Mytilus edulis: one gene and its partners. The protein of the gene in region 3 purifies or fractionates together with the protein of the main gene of each other region. This does not show direct contact. Links are inferred from orthologs where the notes say so. Each region holds a gene or a part of one and is shown on either strand. Other genes may lie near its edges. The genes, in order: nonsense-mediated mRNA decay factor SMG7-like, nuclear cap-binding protein subunit 1-like, regulator of nonsense transcripts 1-like and histone RNA hairpin-binding protein-like.

Region 1 (8,120 bases), on a different chromosome or scaffold from region 3:
TCTAAAAATGTTTTCCCCTACCCTATATCTTACAAATTTTCCTAATTACACCCCAATCATGTCAATCAGGCTTCATTAACCAAAATTTCAATCCAGAAATTATTCTGAGGTATTTTTCGAACAAAAATATATATTTTAAAAAACAAAACATTTTAATTTATGAACACAAAAATGATAGGTGTCTTCTCCTTTCCTTTGTCATTCATCTGTATTAGTTTAATTCCTATCCAGCATTGGAAACTCAGGTTACAATCAAGAATCCATTTGTTTCCGACACAGAGACAGATGGAGGGACATTGCAATAAAATAGTCCACTGGAATTTTTCAGGAAGCATACATGACATTTATTCCCATTCTATATTATTGATTTGCTTTATTAAATCTTTTTAAATGATTTCTTAAATAAATGATACATGTTGTATAACATTTGGAACAGGGATTAAGTTTGGGTTTGCTTAAAAAATATTGCTGATTGCAAGTCACAGTGATATGCGTAACACAATGCCAAAAATTATCTTCCAACTCCATTAACCTACGCTATTGACACACATTTTATAGGTAAACTGCTTATTACTCTATGAAAAGCTTATGGACACTTAACCTGTGATATTTATCTACATTTTATCAAAATTTGATAACTCGCTAAGGTTCCTGAGATTTCAATGACCAAAACTATGAGGTCGTTTTTGCTATAGCACATAATGACATGTTAAATTAATTCCCCTCAGTCAAACGGCTTGTGCAAATAATTTAGATATCCTTGGTCACCATGTTAGATTTATCCACAAAATTTGAATGACATTTTATGAACTTACCTGCTTTAATAAATCAGTTTTAAGTTATGTCATACATTTATAATGTAATATTACTGCTAAATCAATGTAAAAAAGTCACCAATATTTGCTTGGAAATTCAAAATTTAAGTGTCATCATGGTCATTCGGTGATGTCATTCGGTTAATCGAGAGATTTTTATATATGAGGTCACAACTTAAAAAAGAATGAAGGACCAAAAAAGGTTTATTTTTGTCAGTCCTGTGTCTGACAGAAAAAAATTATGATTTCCAAAAATACTGCAAATTACATGTACATAATAAAATAGGAAACTGTATTCTGTATTCATTATACACCTTGTCACTATTAGTCTCAGTGTTTTCATTAAGAACCAGCCGCCGGCTATTTTGACCTGTTCAATTCAATTTCCGGCCTGTTCAGTTGCCCTTAAAAAAAAAGAAGTCCTAATTTTTTTTTATGAGATCTTTCTATGTAAAATCATGACAACTGAGTTCGAAGATTTGTGTTTATATTTTAAACCAACATGCGGTTGCAACGACCATTTTCATTGGCTGTTATTTCAGACTTCCTGTTTGACACACATGTTTATCGTTGTTATGATTGAATGAATAGTAATGAAGAGAACTTCATGAATTTTTCACTTCAACAACTACTACGCCAAAGAGTTGAAAAGGTTTGGATTACTATGTATTTTGACAAGATTTGGAACAGTTTGAATGAAGTTAAAGTTTACTGTTTATTGATCTACAACGGGCCCCGTTGGTCTGCCGTAAACTACAGAGAATCCGAAAAGGGGACAGGGTACATCGATGAAAAGGTGCATTGGCAGAACTTCTGGTCCCATTCCAAATCATAGATATATTTCTGGTGATACTTTCAGTTGTGAGGTACATGTACATTGTATGTAACCATTTTAAAAGCTATCAAATGAAATTTAAAAGAAGTGGAAGCTCATGTTTTCTTTCAAATGAGCCTGGCCAGCACTTCTTGTTTTCCTTTCTTTACATATCTTTTCATACCACCGGGATAATGGGAAGGACCGGGATAATGGGAAGGGGGATATTTAAAACTGCTGGGTGCAGGGGAAGTGCTGTCCAACAGGGTTCTCATCAAAATTTGTCTGGACTCACCATTTTCAAAACTGATGAGTCCACAGATGCATCAAGATTGAAATATTGTATATAAACTGAACACAGTTAAACACGAATATCATCATTTTATAGCAAAAGTTTAAAATTGATCTGAATTTAATGTCATTTCGTTGCTCTATTAGGATATGGAGACTATAATATTACATTATATTGCAATAAATTATTTTCTTCTAGCTGTTGGACTCATCATGGCTTAAAATGATGAGTCCCTGGACTCGCCTTCAAAAATCCTTAGCGAGAACCCTGTCCAAATTTTTAAGGGGTCCCAAAGGTAGACAAAAATCTGCCAGGAATGCAGGTTTTTAAGCCTTTTTTGTTTAAATCTTGGAGGGTTAGTGGTAAAAGTGACATTTTCAGAACTATAATTTAATGCCCAGAATGCAGGATATTGCGTCTAATTTTAAAAAAAATCCCCTCCTATCAGATAAGGGCCTGCTTAAATCTCTAATTGGCCCCTTCAAACAAAAGGAAGTGAAACCCCTGCAGTCTGCAATACTGGACATCACAAAGGACATCGTAAAATTTTGACGACATAATACAAAATATCTGATGCCACAATCATGGCAATGCAAAAGTGATCGTTGAATGATGTCAATAGTTCAAGCGGGGCAGATTCTCAGGTCAAGTTCTCAACTGGGAAAGATTTCCAAATAGTGGTATCATGTACATGTATTGTCTTGAGTGGGTTACCTCTTGAGTGTTTATTATACCTGTTTTCTTTGTCTTCCAGTCATAAAATAAGCCATTGCTTCTATTGCTATTGACTCAATCTTGATACGTACTAATAAAATTTCTAATTGCATAAGCATATAGATATATATAATATATACTTATTAACAAAATAAAAACTTGTTCCTTCAGTAGTTTTATTGACATTAATTTTGAAACTACCCAATTCTAAGCAAGTTAGTCCATTATGGGATTCAGTGGTAGACAGAAATTGTCAGAAGAATAGGAATTTTCATTTTATTGGTGTAAATGTTCAGTGGATACATCCTATTTGTTTTAAAACGAATTTCAGTACTACGCACTATGAAAAACAGTTTCCAAACAGTTAATCATGCGTTTTAATAAATGTTGGCTTGAAAACAAAACCAAGACATTCAAGCTCATTTAGTGTACATTTTTGTTAATTGAAATATAATTCTTTTTCGTGTCAGCGTATCCAGTACCTTAAAACCTGTGCTGCTGCACTCATACTTTTCAAAACCGAAAATAGTTGTTCGCTAGCTTGTCGCCATCTTTTTCTGAAATGCACTTCCGGTTAGACCAAATTAACTCCCTTAGCAGTATGGGTTTTCCTCTAAAAATAATTAATTACACCATTAATTACTCTTTAAACGGCTTTAATTTCTCACCCAGGAAGACTTAATATGTGTGATAATGACATATTTGAATTATTTTTTCACTATCGAAATTTCAAATTAAAGTATAATTTTTTTTTAATCAGTGTGTTTTCTGTTTTAGGGGGGGGGGGGGGGGGATAACTCGAGTAGATCTTTATTGATAATTATCCAAAATCTTGGAACAATTTATTTATATATACATATATACACATGTTCTTGCCAAAATGTATGTAGTAATATCATGATCTTTTCAAAGGTATAATAAATACTATGGGTCAGCGGACTAGTTTACGGTAGGTCCTGGACTGGTGTAATATAACAGAAAACACTTAATAAGGCAGATGGATAACTATGGCATAAGGGGAAAACTGAAATTAGGTATCAGCCTTCCTTAATAATAGTACGCAATTGATTGTCCATGACGTAGAGGTATCTATAGTCAAATGCATGTGGCAGTGGGGTGTCTTAAGGCTCAGTCTTGTGCCCACTACAGTACTTTTCCCCATTTCATAAACGTAACAGTAACATTAAAACACTTTTGTTCGTAGATTAAAATATTTTATACAGACATATAAAAAAAAATCATCAAGACTGTACCATCCTACAACATAACCTATAGAACTGCCTTTAAAAACCAGAACAAACTTGGGGTATGCAATTCCACCTAGAAAAAGTCTCACTGTACTAGATTGTATTCACCATTCACATATGACATAAGGCAACATTTAAGAATCCGTCAATACTGCAAAATATTTTGTATCACCTTGTCAGTCTAATAACATGTCTTGGGATACCCATATCAAGAACATTACTGATAAAGCAAATAAGATCTTGATCTTTATTCTTAAGAAACTAAAAAAAAAAAAAAAAAAAAATGTTTGGTTTACAAATCCATGGTAAAAACTATGACCAAGTTTAGAATACTGCTCTTCAGTTTGGTCACCTCAAAAACAAGCTAAAAACAACATTGAAAAAGTACAAAGAATGGCAGCACGCTACGTACGTCACGAACAGGTACCATACGACCAGCAGTGACTGACCATCTTAGATGGAAGCTACTTGAAACTCACAGCAACGTCAATCGAGTAACAATGATGTACAAAATCTCACTCAAACTCATTGCAGTAGATCCAAACCTTTACTTTTTACCACAGCCAGTCAAAAACACCAGATTCACCAGATTCACCAATTCACTTCAATAAAATTGAGAATGGAAATGGGGAATGTGTCAAAGAGACAACAACCCGACCAAATAAAAAAACAACAGCAGAGGGTCACCAACAGGTCTTCAATGTAGCGAGAAATTCCCGCACCCGGAGGCGTCCTTCAGCTGGCCCCTAAACAAATATATACTAGCCCAGTGATAATGAACGCCATACTAATTTCCAAATTGTACACAAGAAACTAAAATTAAAATAATACAAGACTAACAAAGGCCAGAGGCTCCTGACTTGGGACAGGCGCAAAAATGCGGCGGGGTTAAACATGTTTGTGAGATCTCAACCCTCCCCCTATACCTCTAACCAATGTAGTAAAGTAAACGCATAACAATACGCACATTAAAATTCAGTTCAAGAGAAATCCGAGTCTGATGTCAGAAGATGTAACCAAAGAAAATAAACAAAATGACAATAATACATAAATAACAACAGACTACTAGCAGTTAACTGACATGCCAGCTCCAGACTTCAATTAAACTGACTGAAAGATTATGATTTCATCATATGAACATCAGGCACAATCCTTCCCGTTAGGGGTTTAGTATCATACCATCATAACATATATGAGAAGAACATAACCCGTGTCATGCCAACAACTGTTTTTAGAATAAATGTGTTTAGTTCCGATGCAAAGACCTTATCAGTGACTCAATATTAACGCCAAAATATGCAATCTTTAATGACTTGACAACAGTATCGTAATTATATCCCTTCTTAATAAGTCTATTCAAAGGTTTTGTAAGTTTCCGAGGTGAATACTGACACCTTTGTGCTTTATAAAGAATATTACCATAAAAAATTGGATGTGAAATACCTGAACGTATTAGAAGTCTGCATGTTGAGCTATATTTACGAATGATGTCTTTATACCGATGATAAAATTTAGTAAATGTTTTGACTAGTTTGTGATATCGAAAACCCTGGTGTAATAATTTTTCAGTAATACATAAATTTCTCTCGTTAAAATCGAAAACATTGTTACATACACGAGCGAATCGTACAAGTTGAGATATATAAACACCGTAAGATGGTGACAAGGGAACGTCACCATCTAAAAACGGATAATTAACGATAGGAAATGAAAAATCATCCCTTTTATCATAAATTTTAGTATTCAGCTTTTCATTAGTGATATAGATATCAAGATCGAGAAAAGGGCAGTGGTCATTGTTAGTATTAGCTTTATTTAAAGTAAGTTCAACAGGATAAATTTCATTAATATACATACTGAAGTCGTCATTATTGAGAGCCAAAATATCATCCAAATATCTAAAAGTATTATTAAATTTGTTTATCAGATGTTGTTTCGATGGGTCTTTGCTTATTTTTGTCATAAATTGTAACTCATAACAATACAAAAACAGGTCCGCAATAAGTGGTGCACAGTTAGTCCCCATTGGAATTCCGATAATCTGACGAAAGACGGAATCTCCAAAGCGAACAAAAATGTTATCTAGTAAAAATTCAAGGGCATATATAGTATCAAAGCATGTCCAATTAACATAGTTTTTTTGTTTATTGCTACTAAAAAATGACCTAAAAGAGTTTGAACATATATATTCACATTCTGATTTTTTGAATGCCCATTTGATTAGGTGTGTGAATTTTTTCTTAATGAGAATGTGAGGCAATGTGGTATACAGGGTAGAAAAATCAAAACTTTGAACAGATTCAAAATCACCAATATAAGCATGCAATTTATCAAGTACTTTCAACGAGTTCTTGACACTCCAAAAGTAATTATTCCACTATTTTCGAAGGCCTTATTTGAACAATTTATTATCAGGTTTTTAATTGTACCAAGTGTGCTGGTAAGAAGAATAGACAATTTAGTAGTTGAACAATGGCTTGAAGACGAAATAAATCTATATTTGTAAGGGGTTTTGTGTAGCTTCGGAAGCCAATACATAGTTGGGACTTTCATTGTATTTGGCTCTGCTTGTAAAGCGGTGGCTAAAAGTTTATGTTTGTTACAGATTTCGTTTTCTGAAAATGGAGTCAGTTGGAATGTTGGTGAATTGGTGATTTCCTTTTTCAGAACCTCAATGTAAAATTTACGTCAAACAATAATAATATTATTAGCAGCTTTATCTGCCGGGACAAAAACAAATTCCTTGGCTAGTTCTTTTAGTTTATGTTTGATACGAGAAATAGGTTTATTGTGGTTATTGTTTATAGTAAAATGTTCTTTAAAATGTTGAATACGTATATCAACTATCTTCATTACTGAATTAAAAAAAGAGTCCAAAGATTTTTTGTCAGCTTTTTCCCGTTTTATCCATTTCATACAGTAAGTATGGAGTGAGTCGTGGATGATATTACGACACTCATTCCAATTAATAATTGACGGGGGACGATATTTAGGTCCTTTACTGAGGAATGATTTTAACTCTCGGTCTTGAACGATGTTAAGATCTCCTGTTATAACATGGGAAATGGGTCCATAAATATATTCGGAATTACTGCAATTACATGAAGTAGGTGTATTTTCACTGATATTAACATCTTTACACAATTGACTATAATTAAACACAAATTTCCGGGTAGATTTCTTGTAAATATAACAAATAAGAGGTAGCTCAGTATTGTCAAAATATCCAGGAATTTATTCTTTAACAGAATGGTCGTTAAATATACCGGCAATATTTACAAAATCAAAGCCTTTATTGACATACTTAATTTTAATAAAATGTTTTTTATGATCTTCAGGGCGATCAATTTTGGGAAATAATTTAGAATAACAATATGCCATAATAATTTGAACAATTTCATACTTAGGACTGCTATATGAAATTGTGTTGCAATCCTCCAAAATTTTATTTAACTTATTAACCGGTAACGAACAGAGTTTTGTTAACAGATAATGTCTGCCGTTGTTTTTTGAAATAGAAATTAGGTCCGAAATATTGGTATGATTGGCCCGAAATTTTCTTTGATTGCGATTTGTTCTACGACCGTGAGAACGTTTTTTACGAACAGTTTTAGAAACTATATCCAAAATGTTAACGGAATTGGTTCTAGATATATTACCAATTCCCATGATATTATCATTTAGACCGAGAGGGTAAACTGTCTGTAATTTTTTAATCCAATATAATTCAATTATTTTCCGTGATCGTACAAACTTTGAATGCGATTCACCAGGCTGCTTATTTACAACTTCTAAAGGTTGAACTGCTAAATATTTAAAAGGATGGTTGTGCTTCTTAAGGTGTTGGTAAATGATACTTTTGAATTTATTGGGTCTTTTAAAACGATACAGATGTTCTTGAGTGCGTTTAGATAAATATCGTCCAGTTTCTCCTACGTACTGAATACCACAGCCCGGTTTGTTTCATGTGAGTAAATAAATAATACTGTTTGTTTTTCAAGTTATATCAGTTTCAAAATTTAAAGAAAATGTGCGACCATTAAACGTGGACCTTACCGTATTGTTGGTGGAAAGACGGGGACATGTAAGTCATTTTTTGGCATGACACTTATCGATAGAAGGGTAACCACGATTTTTATTGTTAAAAATGTTAGCGATGGTAGTATTTTTAGATAACCGATTTTGAAGATTGAGACGTGTGGATACCCTTTGAACAAGTTTAGTATTTAGTAATTTTC
Region 2 (7,742 bases), about 11 Mb from region 3:
TTCCTTTAAAATTCAAATCGACTTTCTTATTTAATGTAAAAAAATAAAACCTAGTTCCAAAACATATTTTCTAAAAAACTTTATCAGTTGTCTAGAATACAGATATTTATTAAAATCTATTGCTTTTATTTTTCAATGAAATTATGCAAGTTTTGCAAGCAGAATGTAAAAACTCATTACAGCTCTTCTATAAAAGCATGCAAGGCAAACCTTTGATCAACTTGCTTGCTATGTTTGTTTGGATGTTTGTAAACAACAGGTAGGTAGTTTGTTTCAGTCTGTTTACTATATACTGAAATTTAATAGGACAACAAACATTAACTTTATTTCATGTCAATTTTTATTGTCCAATCAAATCCAAGTAAAATGTATATATTAAGCAGATTGAAACTACGCCTACCTATTGTTTGCTAACATCCAAGCAAACATAATGAAACAACCAAGTTGATCAAAGGTTAGCTTTTGCAAGCTTTTATAGAAGAGCTTTAAGAAATCAGGTGCTTTATCATGTTTATAAGATATGAATATTTTACATTCATTAATTTAGTTCTATAATAATGTCCCACTGGTATATTCCAGGGGCGGATGCAGGAATTTTCGAAAGGGGGGGTGCTAACCCAGGTAACCCAGGGCAAAGGGGGGGGTGCAAAACATATGTCCCGATACAAATGCATTGATCGGCAAAAATAAAGGGGGGGTGCGCACCCCCGGATCCGCCACTGTATTCCTATCCAAACAGAATCCTGTAAGTGAAAACACATCGTTTATTACTAATAAAGAATTCTGCTTGTGTTTGTCAAGATCCTTTTCAATAACTTACATTTTTAAGTATTTTTTACAAGGAATCTATCTAATTTTATAAATACACAATTATACAGAGTTGCATCAAACATGATCAAACTTAACTTCATCACTTACCATTCTACTAAAATTTTAAGGATTTTTGTCTTGTAATTCTGCAAGTCTGCCTCCAGGACACTAGCTAAGCCTTCAAGGTTACTTTCTAAAGAGGATGTACTCTGCAAGACAAAAGTATTGAATATTATTCAAAAGATAATATTATAAACATGATAAAGTTTTAAGTTTAGTAAACATTTTAGCTAGAGCATGGAAGTTTTTTTTTGTGTGTTTCCGTAAGACATTTGGGTAAAGTTTGCAAGCAAATTACACCACCACATTTTACATTTGAACCAAGTCTGACTACCTGGACCATGTGTTATTGGTTTTTTTGTCTATTAGTTGTATAACTGAATTTTGAATGAGTCAAATGTTGATGTGGCCTATTATCATGATTATGCTGTTCTATGTTTATGGTAGTTACATGGTTAACTTATCCATTTTATAACTTAGTATAAACATCGCCATGATTCTATTCCTCTGCTATAGTTTCATGAAAATAAACCAAATTAGAATAACACTCAATGTAAATATTTACAAATAAAATGAATCAAGGACATGCATGAAAAGAATTATTTCTCAGTTATTACTTTCTATTAATCTACCATGATTTAAATATTTAAATAGATTTAAATTGTGCTTTTTGATTTATTTTTTGTTTTATTCTTGTTTACCTTTTCTCCAACTCTAGTTATAAGTGATTCAAGTCTGTCTTCAATGTCAACATTTTCTGATACTCGTCTTCTCTTTCTTACTGAGGAAGGACCTAAACATAAAATCACATAACTTTATTTTTTACACAAAAACAAATTTCTGAACTCTTATCATAACTTGTCAACATGGGCAAGTACTATGTACACCTGCAGATTGAAAAGTACAGTAGCTTTAACCAAAGATGATAAAAGTTGAGATACAGACTTCAGAAAGCTAATTTCCAGAAAGTAAATTATCAATCAAATTAATCTTGTCCCACAAATAATGATTGCCATTGCTTTTCATTAGCAATTTTCTGTATTTCTTCATAGCCTTTCAATTTGGGGGAAAAATACAATGTTTGGCATGCCCTTTTTGAATTATCAATCAGCATGCTTAAGTACCCTTTTCATGATTGGATCCCTGCCCTTTTGAAATCCTCGCTTGAACACTGTAGTGTAGTAGTCTTATTTTTGAGCCACTACATTTTAACAAAAAAACATTTAAAATAAATGGAGAATGATGCCCCAGCTAGCATATAACATTATAAAGGGACATAACTCAAAAACTGTAAAAGTAATGCTTCCAAAATTTGAACCTAAACTGAGATAAGTGGTAATAAGCATTATAAATATATAAACATTTCATTCAATTGAGTTTAGACAAACTTAAGAAAGAGAATGGAAACAAAATATCATGTAAGGTTATAAAGGGACAAAACTGAACAACATTATTCAAAGTGCTTGTAAGCACCGAAGGTAAAGATTGTTTTTATTTTTTTTAATGAACATTGCATTGTATATTAAGCATTGCCATTGGTTATAGTTGATGTAATTGGTAAAATAAATTTTGCAAATTGGAGTTATTTCCTGTGTCCGTAATTGTAGTTGGTTAAAATCAAATTCCTATTTTTCCATTTGTAAAGGAGCATGAATCTAGAACGGATGAAGTGACACCGCAAAACTTGATCTGTATTTTGGAATTCTTATCATTATATATGTTTATGTTTAATAACATTTGGTTGAGGCAAACTACAGTTAGAGAACGGAAACAAAAAAAATCAGTATTTTTTTCATTTGTAAATGGGCATAACTCAACAAAGGTAAATGTGACACCACCAAACTTAATCTTTGTTTTGTGTTAATAAGCATTTTGTATAAGTTTCATAACATTTGGTTGAAGCAAATTAAAGGTAGAGAACAGAAACCAACTTTGGGAGGGACAGACATACAGACGGACTGACGTACAGACGAACAAGGGTAAAACTTAATGCCCTCTCTGCTGCAAAAGGGGGAGGGGGTGTAACAAGTACGAACAAATAATTTGAGAGCAGAGTGGTTTGTATTTAAAAACATTCATTTCAACCAAAAGGTGCACTGTATAAATCTGATTTCACAATATTAAATCCCGAAAGTGCAGATAACAATTTTCCTAATTCTTATTCTAATTGATAAATAAATTTCAATTTGCACCATAACCCGTTCTTTATGCGAAGCAGGGCTGGATAATTTAATATAAATAAAAACCGCTCTGCTCTCACTGACACATTATTTGGTCGTATTTGTTGTAAGTTTTATTTCGTGCACGTAAAGACAACTACTAATGGAAAGATATATTACTCACCATCTTCTTCGTCACTATAAGAGTCGTGTCGTCTACGACTTGACATTTTAAACGTCGATTTTTGAAACGCAAGATTTTCACGCTACTTTTTGTTTCCCCGGAAGTTGATCTTGCGCTTACTTCCGCCTTGCAGCTTAGAACCGAAAAATAGAGGATACTAACGTACTAAAAGTTTACGTGAACCATAAAACCATCATAAATCGGACCAATTTGATACACCTCAAACTTACAATAATTTCAAACCCGAAATGAATATTTCGGTATATCTTAGCGAATAAAAAGTTTGATTTAAGGAAGATAATAATATATGCGCGTGACTATAAAAAAATCAAACTGAATAAAACATGTATAAATAAAAGTGGCCCATTCATTAATAAATCTACATCCTACAAACATTTCATAAACAAAATATAGTAGACCTATTGCATACAATATAAGATCAAATGCTTCGACGAGCGCAGCCTGATACGACCACAGAGGTCGAACAATGAACAATGGGGCAAATTTGGACACACTATTCAAGCTTGATACTGTCTAAACTTAAATTGACAATTTGTGATACCTTTTTGACATAATACCGGTATCTATATATAGGTGTCTGACACAAGATAAACGTGGTCAAGGATCTTACAAATTTGTTGTGCAATATTGTGCAATTGAAGATATCTTCTTGAAACTTTCCGAAAAAAAATAATTTGAAAAACTTGAAATATCGGAACCCCTCAATAAAAACAACGTTTTGAATCCCCCCATGGAGCAATTACTCCCAAAATTCATTTCAGCTTTTCCTTTGTAATACGGAACCTTGTATTACAATCTTAGAGAGATCCATACACTAAAGCACAATTAAGTTACTCTCTGGACTAGAAATTTGCTTGTTTTTCACCCTTTTTCCTGCGTGTTTGGGTAAACAACCCCGAAATCAATTAAAATCTTCCTTTTAAGATATGAAACCTTGTGGTACAATGTCAGAGAGATCCAAACACTGACAAAAAAATTAGTCTGGAAACTAAATAACAAGGGGGCATTTTTCGGGTGTTTTTGATCTTGGGATTTTCGGGATCGACCCTTTCGGGATCCGGGATTTTTTTTTAAATTCGGGACCTCGGGTTTTCATGGTTTTAAGCCGGGATTTCGGGATCAGGACCCCTCCTACCCCCCTCAGCCCCCCCCCCCCCCAAAAAAAAATATGCTTGTATTTGGCCCTTTAAAATTCCTAATAACCCCAAAATAAATCCAAACCTTCTTCTTGTGGTATTATTTATCATTTTTTACCTGGGAGGGGGTCTTGTCATTTGAAATTAAACATACGAATTTTTTTGATCCCCCCATAATGTTTCACTATTTTTATTTGATCCCCTCAGTAAAATCATTAAAAAAAATCGATCCCCCCACTATCAAACAAAATTTTCTCCTTTCAAACACTTCACGAAAATATTGAAAATGAAATGTTCTCAGTGGATTTAGTTCAAAATCATAATTAAGAGAAAATTATCTTGGAATATTGTTTTTCCATGACGCCTCTTAATTCCATAAATATAAGTACCTGAAGTAGGTAGAAGCCAGTGCTCTGAGTAGTTTTTCTGACTTTTTTCTAATTTCCTATATCATTGTATTTTGTGCTAATCTATTGACCCTACGTAACTGTAAAAAATAACTTTTTGAAACAGTAACAACGCATTTTTACTGAGAGGAATCCATTATATGTCCCTCTCTTGAACGCTTCTTAAACTAAAGTTTTACGCAAAGTCTTATTGAAATCTCAATTGAGTCGCTAAACTTTTATATAAATATGGATAGTTCATGCTTTCAGCTTGAACAATTTATTTACTCATTTATTGTCACATTTCATTTATAAATGTGTGAAAGTACCATTAAAATTTTGATTTATTAGCCTAAAAGTACACATTTTCAGGAAGTTAGAGGTAAAATTGACCCCAAGAGATCTTATAATGAAAACAAAAAGATACACAAAGTATTTTTGTGATTTTACTTTTTACTGGTGTTCATCATTTCAGAAACATCTTGCTTATCAATATTCAAATGCAAAGTAGATGAATATTTAATAATTTATTGGAGAATTTATTTCTCCACTCATGATGCTGTATGGTTTGTATTTTGGGAAAAAAATTGCATAAATCGCTGTAGATTTCGTTTCGTTTATACTAAATTTCTTTCCAACTATTAAGCTGATTAAAAATAAACTTGGCAGTAACGCTTGTTAATTTAGTGATCAAAGTGAGTGAAATACATGTATAACGACTTGATTATTCGGATTATGAAGCACCTATGCAGCTTCCTACATCACTAAAGTCTTTATGAATGATGTTAAAAATATGTTTTGATTTGATTGTTGTAATGTTCATCTTTAAATTTTATCTCTTGAAGTATGTGAAATGCTGATTTCTATGTTTAAAAAAATGACCCCCCACTTTGAATTTATAAAAAAATTGAACCCCCCTTTTCCACATACAGAAAAAAACTTGATCCCCCCTGTATTTTGACCAGCCCCCCTCCCAGATAAAAAAAAAAGTCCCTAAACATTGTGGTACAATTTCAGAGCAATCAAAATACTTTACACAAGTTATTAGCCTGAAACAAGAGAAATGCTTGTTTTGGACCCTCAATTCCTAAAAAGTTGGACCGTCATCTCCAACCTACCCTTTGTGGAATTGAACTTTCTTTTTAAAAAAATGCTTCGGTGAGCGCAGCCTGATACGACAGCAGAGGTCGAACTCTGAACAGTTGTGGCAAATTGGATAAAATATTCAAGCTCGATACTGTCTGAATTTTGATTGTGATCAATTTTTTTGACATAATATAGGTTTCTGAAACAAAATAAATGTGGCCAAAGATCTTACAAATCTATTGTGCAATCGAAGATTTCTTATTGAAACTTTTCCAAAATTTGAAATTGTTTAAAAAAAATATGAATTCCTTAAAAAAAATGAAAAAAAATCCCCCCTCCAACTTTTGGAATACCCTTGGAGCAATACTCTAGGACTCAATCCAATTCTTTCCTTTGTGGTATGGAACCTTATAGTACAATTTCAGAGAGATCCCATACACTTAAACACAAGCAATTGTTTGGAAACTAGAAGAAAAAAATGCTTGTTTTTGGCTTCTAATTCCTACATGATTAGAGCAATTACCACCCAACTCAATCCCAGCCTACCCTTTGTGAATGGAACCTTGTGGTACAATTACAGAGAGATCAATACACTTTCACAGAAGTTATTGTCCGGAAAAAAAATGTTATTTTGGCCCCTTTTAGGCCATTATTTCCTTAACTGTTAGCCCCCTAACCCCTTATGTGAATCCCAACCTTCTACTTGTTGTATTAAACATTGTGGTACAATTTCAGAGAAATCGTAATACTTATACAGTAATCCCAACCTTCCTTTGTGGTATTGAACCTTCTTTTAAAATCATAGAGATCCATTCACCGTTTAATAAAATAAAGTTATTGCTAATAACTCCTTAAGGGGTCAACTGACCATTTTGGCCATGTTGACTTCTTTGGAGATCTTACTTTGCTGAACATTATTGCTGTTTACAGTTTATCTCTATCTATAATAAAATTCAAAATACTAACCAAAAACGGCTAAATTTCCTTAAAAATTACCAATTGAAGGGCAGCAACGCAACAATCGGTTGTCTAATTCATCTGAAAATTTCAGGGCAGATAGATGTTGACTTGATAAACAACAAAACAACATGTCAGATTTGCTCTAAATGCTTTGGTTTCATAGTTATAAGCCAAAATCTACATTTTACCCCTATGTTCTATTTTTAGCCATGGCGGCCATCTTGGTTGGTTGTCTGGGTCACCGCACACATTTATTAAACTAGATACCACAATGCTTATTGTTGCCAAGTATGGTTAAATTTGGCACAGTAGTATCAGAGGAGAAGATTTTTGTAAAAGATAACAAAAATTTACTAAAAATTGGTAAAAAATGACTATAAAGGGCAATAACTCCTTAAGGGTCAACTGACCATTTTGGTCACATGACTAATTTGTAGATCTGGCTTTGCTGAACATTATTGCTTTTTACAGTTTATCTATATCTTTGATAACCAAACATGGCAAATTTCCTCAAAAATTGACAATCCAGGGGCATCACCCAACAACCGGTTGTCTGATTCGTCTCAGGGCAGATAGATCTTGACTTGATTCACAATTCAACCTCCTGTCAAATTTGCTCTAAATGCTTCAGTTTTAGGGTTATAAGTCAAAATCTACATTTTACCCCTATGTTCTATTTTTAGCCACGGCAGCCATCACGGTTGGTTGACCGGGTCACCGGACACATTTTTTAAACTAGATACCCCAATGAAGATTGTGGCCAAGTTTGGTTAAATTTGGCCCTGTAGTTTCAGAGGAGAAGATTTTTGTAAAAGTTAACGACAACAGACGCCAAGTGATGAGGCCTTTTAGGCCAGGTGAGCTAAAAAGTGCTTGCCCCGCCCCATCTATCTGATAAATATTGAACAGTCCCTTAGCTAACGCTGCCACCGGATCACTA
Region 3 (8,411 bases):
AAACTCCTTTAAAAGTAAATGAATTTTAAGCATAAGGTAATGAAAATAAAAAACTGACATAAAAAAAATGAAATTTCTTGGAGTTTTTTTTTTTCTTTCTTTAATTTCATACATAAAAAATGGTCATTTGAAAGATTAAATTAGGTGCCAAGAGATTGCGAGAATGCAGGATTTTTCTCTATTTATGCCAGAGCTTCTGGGGGCCTTGAGCGGCCCCAAGACCCCCTGCCGTAAGGCACCAAGCTTACAGCTTGGTGGGCGTCCGGCTTCGCCGAACGCATGTTATAGCCGCCTATAATTTTAATTCAGCCTTCTACTTCCATTTTAATGGAAAGCCCTGATGTAGTTTTCTTTTTATCACACAAAATGGGATTTTCCATGCATAATCTATACACAAATATAGTCAAAATCTGACAATTTTGCACAACCTGAAATTGACCTGTAATGTGAAAAATATTCATGTGATGCATACTTTTATTACATTTTTGAAAAAAGCACGACAAAAACTACATTTTGACAAATTATTAAAAATTTCTATGGATTTTAATTAAGGCTTCCCTGCCACCTAACAGATGTTCCTTTAGGCTCTGAGAAGTTTAATTTCAATCAGAATGACAGAATTTTCTTCCACTTGGAATTAAATTGTAATGTATTAATAGTAATATTTAAACACATATATGAAAATGACATCCTAAACTCAGACTCAGGCACCTGTACGTTGTTGAAGCTAAAGTCTTAGAGCAGTTTCAAAACCTAACATTAGTAGTGACAGTCATTTGTCAAAAAAGTTGTGACAGAGAAATGTTATGCTATAATCATCATGATCATTGTGAAATTGATATATTTTGAGTATATGCCCCTTAGCATTGAGGATCTATGATTGGTCAATAAAAACTTTTATCTTGAATCTTGCTTCTTTGAGTTTGACAGCCAGTTTACAGAATTAATAATTTGCGAATATATGTTTGTTATTATAAGCTTTTGCATGTATATCCTATTACTCAATCGGTTAAATGATCCTACTCTTATCAGCTTATCTTACTTCAGGTTTCGAAGTAACCGAGTCAATTTTGTAAACACAGTTCAACGTGGTTTAGGTACCTGTGCACAACGTCACTGATATTGAGGGAACCCAAATTCGAATAAATGCAAGATTTCACAAGTAAAATGAACGTTGTTACAATGCGTATAAAAATACCACTATACAGTTAAAATTGTATCACTACATAAAAAAATCAATTATGGAATGAGCTGCCAAACCACATAAGACAGGAAAATTGTCTAACTCAATTTTCCAATCTAATACAGAACTGGAATGGCAGCTCATGCCAATGTAATGCATGCCATTAGTGATTGATACATAGCTTTGCTTCCCCCCTTTTTTTTATATATTAATACTAAAATTAGCTAGCTATGGTTTTATATTTCTATCTGCATAAACAGTACTATTTTATTTCCTTATGTTATGTATGTGCTTTCAATAAAACAGTACTATTTTATTTCCTTATGTTATGTATGTGCTTTTAATACCCTGCTTTAATGTATGTATGATTGTCTTAATATGTGTGTTTTGTTTACATATTATTTGCTTGTGTGTAATTTATTATAATGTCGATTTTAAAAGCTTAAGAGCTTGTGTTACTTTGTTTACTATGCATCGACAATAAATAATAAAACTTTGATTTGATTTGATGATACTGTTACTTCTAATTTTGATGGTCTATTGGTTTGTATTGTTGGTTTTCGATTGAAGGAGGTTTTTTCAAGTCACAAGTTCACGATCTGGGACTTAAAGTGTATTACCCTATTACAAGTCAGTGGCGTAGCTAGGTCATTTTTGCGTGTACGCCCGAACCTCGGCGAGGGGTCTGAAGACCCCAAACTGATCCATGTCAAACAATTTCTGGTAGTGGATTAGATCTAGGGAGCGAGGCCCCCGGAAGCTAATGAGTTATCGAGAATGAATACCATTCCTGTCATTAAAAACTCATCAGTATCAACATACTTTAGAATCTAGATGGTTTATTTGTTATGTTAAATTATTCATTTTGTTAATTTGAAATAAAATAGTTATTGGATTCAGAGATAATGTCAAAACAAGTAGCTTTTAAATATGTTTTAAAAGAGCTGTGAGGGTAAAGCCAGGCGCGTAGCTCCCTATACGCTAACACGAAGTTGCGTGCACATCGATTCGGCATGCAAAAAAAATAATGGCAAAATAAAAATTTATCAATTGAATGTTAAAGGAAACACGTATGTTGTCACTTTTTCAATTGATAAAATATCATTAAATAACGGCATTTGGTTTCAAAATAAAAGTTTTATTGGAGATGATGGCAAAATCGGACAGTAACTTGTATCTTTTACAAGATTTGAATTTGTAATACTGAAGTCTTTAGAAGACATGTAGTTTTGGAGCACATTTTACAGTGTACGGTTCATCAGTTTGGAATGAGATGTACCAATCGGCATTGGAATTATCAGGTCCCTTCGATATAATTGAAAATATGCCGAGGCGATGTGGTCGGCAGACTACCTGAGCCAATCACCCTGCAAACACGCCAAAACAGTATTGGAAAGTCTCATTATGTTTTGCGTTCATAGACCATATGATAAGGGAACTGGAGAGTGGAGTCGCGTACGTCTAGTATTATCAGAAAATCGCTTCTTTGTGCTGTATCTGCTTCATCGTGTTGTAGGAAATATAACAGACGAACAAATCTCAACATTGTCTGAGACATACGAAACTGACCTGGCATGTAATTTTGACGAATTTAATTGGGAGGTCGCTCGATGCCGAACATGTACGCTGGTTTATAACATCTTGCGAGTGCTACCATGGAGATCTATCAGTGTACTACGTATGTTGAAAACAAATGTACGATCAACAATGAACAACGACATACAGTTACTGCATATTCATCGGTATTTCAGTGTGAATATTGACAAAGTAATAGAGAAGTTTGTTTCTGCCTAGACCCGAAGAGCAGATTTTTGACGATTTTGAGTAAATTCTGTATCACAAATATGTTTTCTTTATGTATTACTCTATTCAGAAGATTTATTAATAGTTTTACAATAATATTTTTTTTATAAGTCCTCACTACATATAGTGCCTCTCATTAACCGTCCTTTGACCGAAAACCGAAAAAAAACATTTTTCTGCAAAAAAAATTTGGGAGTTGCTTGCACATTGTTTCTTTCTAGCTACGCCCCTGAAAGCAATTAACCAATTAACAAAATCACCTTTTAATTTCCAAATTTCGTAAATGAACATTAATCTTCAGAGATTTTCAGGTGCAATAATAGATATCGTAAAGGGTTCTGTGGAATGCTGTTTTTTTGTGTCAAGGATTCCCCCTGCAAATAGTGAATCCATTTATCATTCCATTACAGGATTTTTAAAAAATCCAACATTTTCTTTAGATATTTTGTCTTGATCTTGAGTACTAGTTTTGGCCCAAGTTTCATGATAATTTATGAAGATTGATGCATTGATAATTTATAAAAAGCCATATAGGATCGCTATGTCGCGCTTTGGCATCTTAAATACAAATGTATGTCACAGGCTCAACAAAACTGTAAACCACAAAACGATTCTAAGGAGATAAAGGATTGCTTAAAACAAAAGGGAAGGGAGTATAAAACTCACATTAGCTTCAGACTTGACAGAAAATGAACAAATAAATGATATGATTCCATTTGACTGAAAGTAAATTTTGTCAATTTTATTCACAATTACAAGCCAACGAAGAAAGAATTATAAAGCTGATGTGCTTCTAACAAGTTATTTTTATTTTCTTTAGATTGCTTTTTCAATAGCCTTGGAGAAGTCCATATATAATTAAGCAATCTGTTTGCATTCCTTCGTCTAGGTTTTGTGTAATATCATCTATGAAGGGCATTATGTTTGTCTGAGTGGGACATGATGTTGTTGGTTAGGTAATTACATGTATGTGTTCCATGATTTTGCACCTGCTATACACGTTAAAGATACCGTGGACGGTAGTTTTCTGCTTTGTACTTTTGACCTTTTTTTGAAGATAGGACAAACGTTGGCCATTTTCCAGTCTATTGGTAATTCTCCATATTCATAAGAGTTTTGGAAGATGATACTGAATATTGGTGTTATTTCGGTGGCTATACGGTTACGGTTTAGAACCTTAGCAGATGTAAGTTGGTCTCAGTGGTCCATAAGATATAACACATAAAACTTCAGTAAGAGTCGGTATATGCAATTCAAGTAAAAATACAAGCTTTGAAGAGCTTTTAAAAGCAGCTGCCGTGTGTGATCGATTTAGACTTTATTAGTATTTTCAGTATTCCATGCATGACATATCTGCCAGTGATGTTAACTTCTGGCATAGATGGATAATTTTTGTTTGAAGATCCACATCTATCTTGGAATTCCTGGTTTGAAATGCTTGTTCTCCCAGAAAAAGCAGACTGAAACTGTTGGTTAATTGTATATTTGCTTGATCATAATCTAACTTGACTGAGGATCTTGAAAAAATAGGGTCGACTACCCTATTTTTTCAAGTCAGTGGTAATTAAGACTGATTTCTGCTAATAAGCAAGCTAACCAAATACTCTACCTTAACCTACATACTCAATGCATTCTGCTGTATAAAAAAAGAATATCCATTAAATCATAGTATTCATATATATATAACATCACGAAAGACCAAAGTACATATGCATCTATCATGAGTCATGATAAAAAAAAAAACATATTTTATCTTGTACAACACTGAAGCCATATGTTTTGCACCATTTGAATGCATATCGGTAGATGTATTTATGTATTATATTTCGATATAATTTAGAGGCACTTTACAGGCTCAGTCCTGTGTTTCTACAATTTATTTCTGTCTTTTATTCATACCGGAACGTCATCATAATTTGTTGTGGTAGTGACGTCAACGGCCTTGGACACAAATGGCATGAGTTAGGAGGAAACGCATTCCGACCAATTATTTCCCGTTATTGACATGAATTAAGAGTCAACACGTTAAACAGATATAACAAAGAACCGTTTGTAATCAAGCGATGCCAATATGAGTGTTGACGCTTACGCCCCGAATTCCCAAACGTTGACATTCCTTGAAACAGAGGAGGATCTCCTTGGGGCCGACACGCAAGGAACGGATTTTGATTTCACTGATTTTACGCTCCCGTCTCAGACACAATCTCAAACTCAAGCATCACAGCTTGACTCCAATCAAAGCCAGGTAAATAAGCATGTCAGTTTTCTTATCAGTTTAACTTGTCATGGAACGAAAGTATGCAACACGTGTGCAAACTTGATTGACTTTCAGTTTCAACGAGTTTCATTCATGGCAATCATACATTTAAGTGTATACAATAAATCAAATATTTATAGTATTTACATTCCGTCAAATTACATTCATTTTATCCAGCCCTTTCAAAACCAAAAACATCCTTCCAATTTGAGCTGTCTCAACTAACACCTACTACTACTAGTACCAGCAGAGCTCTAGATAAGCTGCGTATATGCCTGATCATGCAATATAAAGAAAACAATTGAAAACCCAATACAAGTGCCCATTGCAGCGTTCAAACACCCAATTCATGCAAACATGCAAAGGAAACCCCTTTTGACATGATTGAATGTGAAAACCTTAAGTCACTATCGTGTTATCTATTACATTGTCGTTGTGTAAATCTACATTTGTAGTTTTGTTATATTTATAAGTGGAAATGTCCTTTTGTTCTTAAAATACAATAGAGTGACACCTCAAGTAGTTGCAATGGGTCCCTGTTTGAAGTTTCTGATGCTCAAAAAGTACATGTGTTGAAGAAAACAGGTTTCGATCTTCTCTGCGTAATCAGCGTAAGTCATGTCATCATATTTAATTCTATCGTATTGATCAGAATTTATCTAACACATGTCAATGAATTAAAGCAAAATAAAATTTGATAAATATTTAATAGAACCATGTCTCAATCAACTTGAAAGTAAGTAGTACACATGTTCCCTAGGCTATGATATGATCTTCTAATTTCAATGCCAAATAAAGACATTTGAACCCAATTTCACGGTCCACTGTTCAAAGAAAATGATAGTGCTAGTAGGGCATCCGTGTGATATTGGGGTACAAGTCAAATTGGCATCCGGTTAATTCAGCACCCACAGAAAAAGTCAAATTGGTACCTGGTTAAATCGGCATCTAGTCAAATTGGCACCTATTTGAAGTCAATTGGGCATCCAATTATATTTGATATAAATATATATAAACTATTAAAAAAATGAATAAATGATCTTTCTATTTCTGATTATTTTTAGTTTTTTTTTAACATTAATGACTCAAAATTCTATGACTCAGACTGTTGTTTTGATAAGTTTTCTTTTCAATTAATTAATTTTAAGAATTCACTAGTACCTATACAAATCTTTGTTGATTAAAAAGTCAACCAAACCCATGTCTTACTAGCATTATTAAAAGAGCTGTACATCAGTGTACATTGTATCTCTATAGAAGTAGTTATTGATGTTTTTTTTTTTCTTCATTGAAAAACTAAATAAAAAACAATGAAGCCTTTTCGCAAGATGTTGTTTAATCATGAGAAAGTTAGAAGTAGTAAGAGGGAAAACTATGAGTCCTTTTCATTAGTATCACTAATTATATGTAATTCTAAGGTCGTTTTGCAGGAAAGTTTAAACAGCATTAAACCAACAATCATGCAGAATGCTCATCTGGTTGAAACATGCATAAAAAATATCTTACACCTTTAATACACTCACATTAATTTGAACGAAAAATAATGCATACAAACCCCCCCCCCCCCCCCCGAAAATGTAAATTGGTCAATATTTTGGGACAACCCCTTCTTTATTTTAATCGATTTGCTTAGAATACTGCCGAAAAATATATATTAATTGATATAAAATATATAAGACATATTTAATATGGGTGCCCAAATTACTACATCAGGTGCTGATTTAACCAGGTGCCAAATTGACTAAGTGCCCATTTAACTATACTGGGTGCCGATTTGACCAGGTGCCGATTTGACTAGAATTCGACACATTCTTGTTTTTGAAAGGTTAAGAAATTCATGAACTACAAATATAGGACCCTTGCTAAACATGCAATTTTAGGCCACAAAGATTTTCTAATATTTTGTACAATGTACCTTTCTTCAATGCTGAGGATTGTAACTTGACATGTTGGATAGACTGAGACCTATGTTTTTCTTATAAATGAGAATTGAAGTTTTATCTTTTTGAGATGTGTTTGTAACTTTGTTTATAATATTTATCAGGTGAATGGTATAGATGGCAGTATCCCTAATGACGTGGATGCGAAAGGTACCATCGAGGTGAAAGTTAATAATGTTGCACAGGGAGTTGGGGAGCTGAACTTTGAGGAAGATGAAGAAGAACAGTTTTGTATGAAAGATCTCCCCAAACATGCATGCTCGTAAGTTCTCTTAATGATAACTATTAAAAGCTATAAACATTTGAAGTATATGGCTTATAAAGAATAATCATGATCTATAAATGTATTAGTTGGAAATGGGCGACAGCTTAAGTAAAGAAGAAACAGTGCAGTTTCATTTCAAAAATATGATGATAATCTTCCATGGCAATTTTTTCTAAATAATCTTCAGAGATAAAAAAAAATTGTAACAGAAAGGTGAAAAAACTAAAAGGACATTAAAACTCGTAAGTTGAAAATAAAATTACAGTACCAAGGCGAAAAAAACAAGACGACAAACAGGATACAAAACATGAAGAAGGTACAAATTTTATGTAATTAATTCCTCAATCCAAATACCTTAGACTTTGTATAAAAATTCACTTGTTAGGCAGGCACCTGCTACATTTTGTACATGTATTATTGACTATTTACCAACCTGATTTCAAATGGAAGTACAAGTTACAACTTCTGCTCTATTGATTGTATACATTATATTTAAACAAGGTTTTCTATTATAGTTACTGTGGAATTCATGATCCAAGCTGTGTAGTATTTTGTAACAGTACAAAGAAATGGTTCTGTAATGGTCGTGGTAACACCTCTGGAAGGTTTGTATTCTTGTCATTTATGAAGATAAAAAGTCATGGTATTATCAAGATTTTTCTTGAAATATAGAAATGGTAGAGAAACAGTTGAAAAATCTGTAAGAAATGTTAGATAATATTTTCCACTTTTATTTTCTCAAGCAGGGGTATATAGTGATCCTCCATTTGTTTGGTCGGGAATTTGTCTGTTCATTCTTTTATTTGCTCATCAGCACTTGATATGATATACCCATCTTCTAAACCAGTGGCTGTATTTCACTGAAATTAAAAAATAAATAAATTATATCCAACATCTTATATAGCTAATGGAATTGTAAAGCAATTCATGCTTTGCTTAGTAAAATTTTCAGAGCTGTTAGTT
Region 4 (7,839 bases), about 13 Mb from region 3:
TTGATAAATGCTGATTTTCTATAACGTTTTTGGTTCATGAAATCAAAATGGCGACATTCTGAGCGTCTACTATAGGTCCGCTTCGAAGTGAAAACGTTCAAATATTCCTATTAGAATCGAAATAATTCTATATCTACAGAATAATCTATCAGATCCTGCATCTTCTTTGATCGACCATAAACATGAAACCCTAAGGCTATGTCAGTTTACACAATAAGAACAGTGGTTTTAAATAAATTCTAATAATTAATTTTGATGATTTATCATTTTTTAAATATTCTTGTATCAAGAGTATTAAAGCTTTATAAATGTTTCATAGTACATTACAATGTATGTGCATAACAAAATTAGAGGCAGGTAAATGTCCAACCTAGCTTGCATCTTATAACATTGAGGATTACAGTTTTTCTGCAGATATTGTCAGGGTTTTTTATGCTGCCTTTCCCATTTCTTGTCATCATTGAAGCAATAACAATCCTATTAATGCCCCTTCTGTTCCACAAAATTTGTACTTAAAACTGTTATCAAACATTTTTTCAAAGCGGTTGTATCTTCACAAACATGACAAATAAAGTTGTTAATGTTTTTGTTTTTCATATATCAAGCCTGTTTTCATGTTTTTCAAAAATATAACAGAAAAGTGAAAACTGATGTTGGAGAGTAAAATCTATATATAACTTGACCGTAGGTAAGGGCATTTTCAAAAAAAATCTGAAACCCTGGGCTAACTTCATCGAGTCATTATCATGTTACCTGTTCTTATCACAGTTAATATCTGACTGTATTTTTCTATTCATTGGACTTCTCAGAGGGCTAAGAGGTCCAGATGACTTTTCCTCCCTGAAAAAAAAAGAAGACAATATAAAACATTTGAAAATTTATAATTCAAATACAGTTAGATGTCACAATAATAATATTTGTTTCTGATCCTTCACAATCTGAAAATAAAGGGCAAAATATATATCAGACAAGTTCAAATTGACACAATTCAAATCAACAAAATCTACCAAATCGCCAAAACAGACCAGAATTCCCTTCATGGGTTCTGTTCGCTTCCTGAATATGTATGAAATAAGTGCCACTAAACATTAAGCTTAATAACAATCTGAATCAATAATGTTTGCATACACCCAACATAGACAAAATTGGTTTTGATTTCATTCTAGTTATGACTCACCCAGACTGAAATAATTACTAATGGAAGTTACAAGACATATCTATCAATTTCTGAACTCAGTGTTCTCATTAGAAATTTCTAATATCATCCTGGTAAACAGGAAATTTGCAACTCCATAAATTTTCCGAGACAAGGGCCAGTGTATCATACCCTACAACGGATACTAATTTTCAGTGATAACAATATAAACTATGGATTTAGATATTTTTTGTCATAGTACAAACATTTGAATAAAGGACAACATTATCATCAAGTTAAAAAAAAAACAGCCTTCAATACATGATTTTTGGGGCCATTATCTTTTGTATTGATTTATCATTTGAACTACAATGTATGGTTTTAACCTTTTCGCAGTCAATGCTTCAGACAGCCGACGATGAGAAATGTTTTACCGGGGTCAGCATACCTCTTATATTTCCTACTAAAAAACATTGCTGAACACAAGTTATCTTGGTATAATGCTTGAATGAAAGTGTTTACAAGACACTTATGTTTGTTTACAGGAATTTAAAATAAGAAACCTTCTTTTTAACAAAAAATTGGGAGAATTGAAGCCAGTCTAGTAACCTATTTTGACATAATAGAGGGTCGTAATGCCCTTTATCATCAGGCGTCAACCAGTCATTTTCAGCTACCATTAAAGAGTTTAAATTAGTTAAACCGACGATTTTTAAAATTATTTATAAGAAAGTGTTCATTTCATCATCATGCACCAAAAATTACGGTTAACTTCATTTGGCAAGAATTTTTACGGTAATAACAGTTATTCTTCACGTAGGTAGTCCCATTAAATGCTACAGTTAAATATCAAACTTGGTAAAATTTGATGGACAAGAATTTCGGTAATCTTTAATTTACATTATCTGTAGTGTAAATTCAGGTCTGCCAAATTTTTACAATAGGATGTCATTGGAAGGCATCACAGAAAAAAAAAGAATGTGTCCAAAGTACATGGATGCCCCACTCGGGCTATCATTTTCCATGTTCCATTGACCGTGAAATTGGGTAAAAATCTAATTTGTCATTAAAATTAGAAAGATTATACTATAGGGAACATATGTTGAAATTAGAAAGATCATATCATAAGCCATAAGTGTACTAAGTTTCAAGTTGATTGGACTTCAGCTTCATCAAAAACTACCTTGACCAAAAACTTTTATCTGAAGCGGGACGAACGGACCAACAGACGAACAAACGGAGCCACAGACCACAAAACATAATGCCCCTTTACTATCGTAGGTGGGACATAAAAATTTAATAGCCTTTCAAGAACTTGAAGAAGTCTTAATACACCTTATCGGCTGATCCCAGACATGGTCCTGCTCAAACTATTGACGTCATACAACAATCACTTTTTCATTGTTAGGGAGCTCAAGGTTGTCCAGATGCAATTAATGTTACATCGTCATATATAATTTGTATCATGACGACAAATTTTTAAGGGAACCTATGTGATGTCTAGTAATGGCAGACAAATAGTGATAAGGTGTATTGTTTGGACTAAATTATAAAGTTTTACAACACAAATAATATTGTTGGCGCAAATGTATTATAAAAATGTAGGAGCCAACATTCAATCCACAAATGTATAGCATATTTAATTTGGTACATTAAAAATTCAACAATAAGTTCTTCTGAGCTATGTTTTAATCGTTCGTACACGCTTAATCTAAATAAATATTTTACTCTCTACCGCAAGGGTCAGGTCGGGCTAAACAAACGCTCACCCAATAAATTTTCATTTTCTACTTAAAAAAATTAAAGCTTTGTCAAAACCAAATTTAACCTTCTTGAAAAGTGTTGATTTCTCCGATCTCTTGATCTTCTGTGTGCATCTAAGTCTCTTCTTCTCATTTCAGTTGTCATTTTAAGTCTCTGTATCGTTCCCACTTTCTTTCTTCCGTCTGTTGTTGTTCTTCTCTGTAACTCCCGCCACTAGTTTACGCACGCGCTCAATCCAAAACAAAGAATTATGAATATTCATAAGATTTATTTTTTTTGGCAAAAAAAATCTTTATTTTTTCATGGTGCATATTTTGTTAAACTTCATAATTTGAGGGCAAATAAATACCAAGAAAATAATTTTTGTTCATTTAAGCCAATACACATCACTTGCCTCCAAATCTACTTCCTGTTTGTACATGCTTGGTTTCCCGAAGTTTGATTGGTTAGATCTGTGTTGTTTTTCAAAACGGACGGCGGCTTCTCCTATACACAGAACAGCTGAAGAACATCTGATCTACAAAAATATACTATGTAAAAAGTGTATTGGAACTACACACAAAGGATGGAATAGGAAAGAATTTGCTTTGTCAATGCAACCGCAATTTTATACATTTTATGAGTGGAACAAGTAAAAATGGCATACAGTTCATGATAAAATCTTGCGGTTGCTTTGTGGCAGTGTCGTTGTGTATTCCATGATTTAGCGGTTGAACGGAAGATAAATGCACTGGTAGAATTTTGAGGGACAAAAACTTCAAGATCTGGATGTACAGTTCCTTGTCAGCGTTATCATCATCATTATCATCAACACCCTCATTTCATTTACAGTCTTGCCTTGATTTCGAAAGATGTCTAAAAGTAGCATTTCAAAGAAGCCTCCACGATTGCGTTTACCATTGAAAAATCTTAGCAATAATTTAAGTTTTTTGAATGCACTTAATATTGCTCCATCAAAAATGAATTCACCAGTCACCAGCCTTGCCATGAATCTGAGCGAACTCCATACAGGGAGGTAAGGACACTGAACAGTTTCAGTTATTATACTTAAAATAGATTCCTTTATTTATCACTTGTTCCTTAAGTTCCTGCTTTTATTTTTATATTAGATATCAACAGTTTGTGTTGTGTATTTTCAGCGTATTTTCATACATTTACATTTTAATACAAATAAGACGCCAGCAATAAAATTATATATATTTATATAATTAATTTGAATGGGTATTAATTGTGGAACCAATTAACTAGTTGATAACAGGATAAGTGTTACATGAAGCTGCGGACCATAGCTCTTTTTGAATCCATGACAAGTCGCCCCACTGGCAAGTCGCCCCACTCCTAGTCGCCCCACTTTTTCACCAACTCGCCCCACTTTAAAAAAAACGCCCCAACCTGGATCACCAACTCGCCCCACTTTTTAAAAAATCGCCCCACTTGTGAAATGTGTTAAATCCCGTTAATATTACTCCTGAAAACTCGCCCCACTGAATGGAAAACGATAAAATCTAGATTAACATATTATTAACCAGGATGAATGTAGTAAAGCCAACTCGCCCCACTCATGGAAAAAGATGTTATCCCGTTGTATATAACTTAAATTCCGTAAACATTACTCCTGCCAACTCTCCCCACTTATAGAAAACGATAATATCTAGATTAATATATTATTAACCAGGATGAATGTATTAATGCCAACTCGCCCCACTTATGGAAAAAGATGTTATTCCGTGAATATTACTCCTGCCAACTCGCCCCACTTGAAAGAAAACGATAATATCTAGATTTATATTATATTATTAACCAGGATGAATGTAGTAATGCCAACTCGCCCCACTTATGGAAAAAGATGTTATCCCGTTGTATATAAGTTAAATTCCGTAAATATTACTCCTGCCAACTCGCCCCACTTATGGGAAAAGATGTTATCCCGTTGTATATAAGTTAAATTCCGTCACACACAACACAAGGATACACAGTAGACATAGTAAATGCATGTCAAAGGTTACTTTGATATTTACTTGAAAGAAACATTTGCCTTCCTCTGATTGGTCGTTAGTGTTGAATTATTCTAAATTCAGAGACAAAAGTAATCAATCTGGTAATTGCTCTGATAACAAATTGCTGTTAATTGAAATCCGTTAAGTATTATGATATATTGCATTATGATACAATTAACAGGTTTCTTTTCAATTGTTATGCAAATAACTAATCTTAAAAAAATACAGTTATTCTTCAATAATACGAAAATTATTTTTAAGTGGGGCGAGTTTTTATATTTTAATTTGATATCTAAATATTACCGTTTTCCATTAAGTGGGGCGAGTTGGCAGGAGTAATATTAAACATGATTTAACCAATTTCACATGTGGGGCGATTTTTTAAAAAGTGGGGCGAGTTGGTGATCCAGGTTGGGGCGTTTTTTTTTTTTAAGTGGGGCGAGTTGGTGAAAAAGTGGGGCGACTAGGTGTGGGGCGACTTGCCAGTGGGGCGACTTGTCCTGCTTCCGCTCTTTTTGTTGTGATGATGGTATTGACAATTTGTAGCCTGCCTAAGAAAAATATAAGGACCATAAGAGCTTCATTTTTGCAACTAGATAAGTGTTATATATAAGGTTAATGTACTAATGATTATTAAAATCAAATGTAAATTTACTTAAAATGTCAAATTAGGTTATGTATACACATTTTGCTCCATTTGTCATGTATAACTGTTGTCATGATTATTGTATATATCTGCAGTTTAAGTAAATATACATGCAGCTTGATCTGGCTTTTTAACTCAATTGGACAAAAAATAATTTCCCCATCTCAACTTTGTGGCTCGTATCTAATTTTCTAACTTATTTATATTTGAAATATATATTCAACTGTTTCTTTACTGGTAAAGTCTAACATTGTACCTCATTGTTAATGTTCTGGTATTAATGCAGAAACTAAGATTTCAATTAAAAATGTTGAAGGGTGAATATTATATCCCTATCAGGGAAAAGTATTTCATAATCTCAAATTGTAGACATGTATATATTTTTATAAACATAATCACATGCATGGAAAAGACAAATAAAATTTAATATTGCATTATCAATACCAAAAGGTAGTATTTTGTAATTCTGTAACTACTATTAACAGTTATAATGTTAACTGTCAAAACAAAAATTTATGTTGCATTTTATGTTCCCATAGGGTGTACAATCATTGGGAAGTATTAATTTAAATGGACTTTGGAAAACTTTTTGCCCCCTCAAGTCAAAACATAATCTTACAGCGGTTGTGATGCAAGATGACTTTACTCATTTGTCAATATGTTGATTTATTAAAATTGTATTTTTGATTGAAGTTTATTTTTTATGGCATATGTAAACAGAGGTTCTTTCATGTTATACTACTGTTAAATTAAATTAAATAGAATTCACTGTTGCATAATCAACTGCAATATGTGAAGCATATATATATATATATATGATATATGGTATGTGAATTTAAAAATGTAAGTTGTTAATGTCATCTGATTTGTGTTCGAACAAGTTTCTTTAATTACCACTTATTTTCAGGGGAGGAACACCAAGAAGAAAGTTATCTTTATCCAGCATCGATACACCACCCACACAATGCCAACCAACACCTGATAGACTGGATTCTTCAGAATCAGGTAAAACATTTATAGTTTTTAGATTAAAGCATGAAAAGCAAACCTTGGTTGTCTCAAGTAATTAAAAAAAACTATTTTAAAGAAAATGAATTTAAACTGGTCTGAGAGGGATAAAGCAGTATACTCTTTTATGTGCTGAAGTTATGGATTAAGAAATGCGATCTTAAAAAAATGTTTTAATTTTTTTTTCGCTAACTGAAGGCTAGAATGTATTCTTTTTACAATGATTGTAACACTATTTTGAAATAAGATTAGACAACCAATCACATTTGATGTTTTGAATATTTGTTTGTGTATTATGATAACTGAAATACAGGAAATCTGACTAGTGTTTCAGGATATTTACTTTTGACATTACACAGGATCATCTTCAGGAAATTTTGTATTTTCAGTCTGGATCACAGGAAATATCTGTTTCAAAAGAATAAATGTAACTTAAAAAAAACAACATTTGAACAATATAATCTATATATCAAGTAATCTTGATTCTTTTCCCCTTTTAAGAAAAAAGTTTAAAGGGGTTCATTAGTTTCACAATTAAAGGGATGTAATTTCTTTCCAATGAAGCAGAAAATAGAAGTGAAAGCCTTACAAAAAAAAACACTTTAAGTTTATGTAATGTCCACTGTGAGAGGTGTGACCACTTGGACATTTCTACACCTTTATAATTGTTTGATTACCTCAATCTGCTTGGGGACAAAATTGGAAAAGATTTTACGTGAATGAATGAATATTATTTCTCATTAACTGCCTAAAAAAAGGAAGAAATAGTTTTATCTCAATCCATGAAATTCCCTTTCCATTTAGATTTGTATAGTAATTTTTCAACCAAATTTAATTCTTGTTCTTAAAGAAAAGGTACAATATATTATTACTGAAAACAAACCACACAAGGCAACCCAAAAAATACTAATTATAAAAGAAAATCTCAAACTATACATTTAGAAATAAGAATGTTTTGTGATCCATTGTTACGTTTACATGGTGGACAGACATGAAGACACCCCCCCCCCCCCCAAAAAAAAAGTATATTTGTTTAACATTAAGAAAAAAAATCATATCTATGAATCAGCAAGTTTTTTTTTAACCCAAATTTGTAATTTTAAAGCCATTACTGGATATTAATTTTGATCTTGTAACCATTCAATTAGTTTCAAAATATTTTTTACATGATTTTATACTCTAAAGAAGAAGTTCTTGGGAATTTATATCAGTGGTGTTATGATGATAAAATCACTAATAAAAACTGCCAGAATTTCACAATTGATTTTTGATTACATAAAAATTTCTGA

What was found.
Region 1: the proteins of regulator of nonsense transcripts 1-like (region 3) and nonsense-mediated mRNA decay factor SMG7-like purify together in Homo sapiens (affinity purification with western blotting; 7 studies listed by BioGRID and IntAct, with this or other methods). This does not show direct contact. The link is inferred for Mytilus edulis from reciprocal best matches to the Homo sapiens genes UPF1 and SMG7.
Region 2: the proteins of regulator of nonsense transcripts 1-like (region 3) and nuclear cap-binding protein subunit 1-like purify together in Homo sapiens (co-immunoprecipitation; 3 studies listed by BioGRID and IntAct, with this or other methods). This does not show direct contact. The link is inferred for Mytilus edulis from reciprocal best matches to the Homo sapiens genes UPF1 and NCBP1.
Region 4: the proteins of regulator of nonsense transcripts 1-like (region 3) and histone RNA hairpin-binding protein-like purify together in Homo sapiens (affinity purification with western blotting; 4 studies listed by BioGRID and IntAct, with this or other methods). This does not show direct contact. The link is inferred for Mytilus edulis from reciprocal best matches to the Homo sapiens genes UPF1 and SLBP.

What each region holds. Positions count from the first base shown.
Region 1 is NC_092345.1:80,930,164-80,938,283, forward strand, and holds the start of nonsense-mediated mRNA decay factor SMG7-like, read right to left. Parts: upstream 3,228-8,120; 5' UTR 3,144-3,227; coding exon 3,118-3,143; intron 1-3,117. UniProt on the Homo sapiens protein: Plays a role in nonsense-mediated mRNA decay. Recruits UPF1 to cytoplasmic mRNA decay bodies.
Region 2 is NC_092347.1:28,671,733-28,679,474, forward strand, and holds the start of nuclear cap-binding protein subunit 1-like, read right to left. Parts: upstream 3,367-7,742; 5' UTR 3,260-3,366; coding exon 3,214-3,259; intron 1,664-3,213; coding exon 1,572-1,663; intron 1,020-1,571; coding exon 919-1,019; intron 1-918. UniProt on the Homo sapiens protein: Component of the cap-binding complex (CBC), which binds cotranscriptionally to the 5'-cap of pre-mRNAs and is involved in various processes such as pre-mRNA splicing, translation regulation, nonsense-mediated mRNA decay, RNA-mediated gene silencing (RNAi) by microRNAs (miRNAs) and mRNA export.
Region 3 is NC_092347.1:39,449,622-39,458,032, forward strand, and holds the start of regulator of nonsense transcripts 1-like, read left to right. Parts: upstream 1-4,877; 5' UTR 4,878-5,057; coding exon 5,058-5,231; intron 5,232-7,287; coding exon 7,288-7,445; intron 7,446-7,963; coding exon 7,964-8,053; intron 8,054-8,411. UniProt on the Homo sapiens protein: RNA-dependent helicase required for nonsense-mediated decay (NMD) of aberrant mRNAs containing premature stop codons and modulates the expression level of normal mRNAs.
Region 4 is NC_092347.1:26,235,620-26,243,458, forward strand, and holds the start of histone RNA hairpin-binding protein-like, read right to left. Parts: upstream 3,317-7,839; 5' UTR 3,044-3,316; coding exon 2,964-3,043; intron 841-2,963; coding exon 754-840; intron 1-753. Other genes in the region: M-phase inducer phosphatase-like, read left to right, coding at 3,751-3,914, 6,450-6,547. UniProt on the Homo sapiens protein: RNA-binding protein involved in the histone pre-mRNA processing.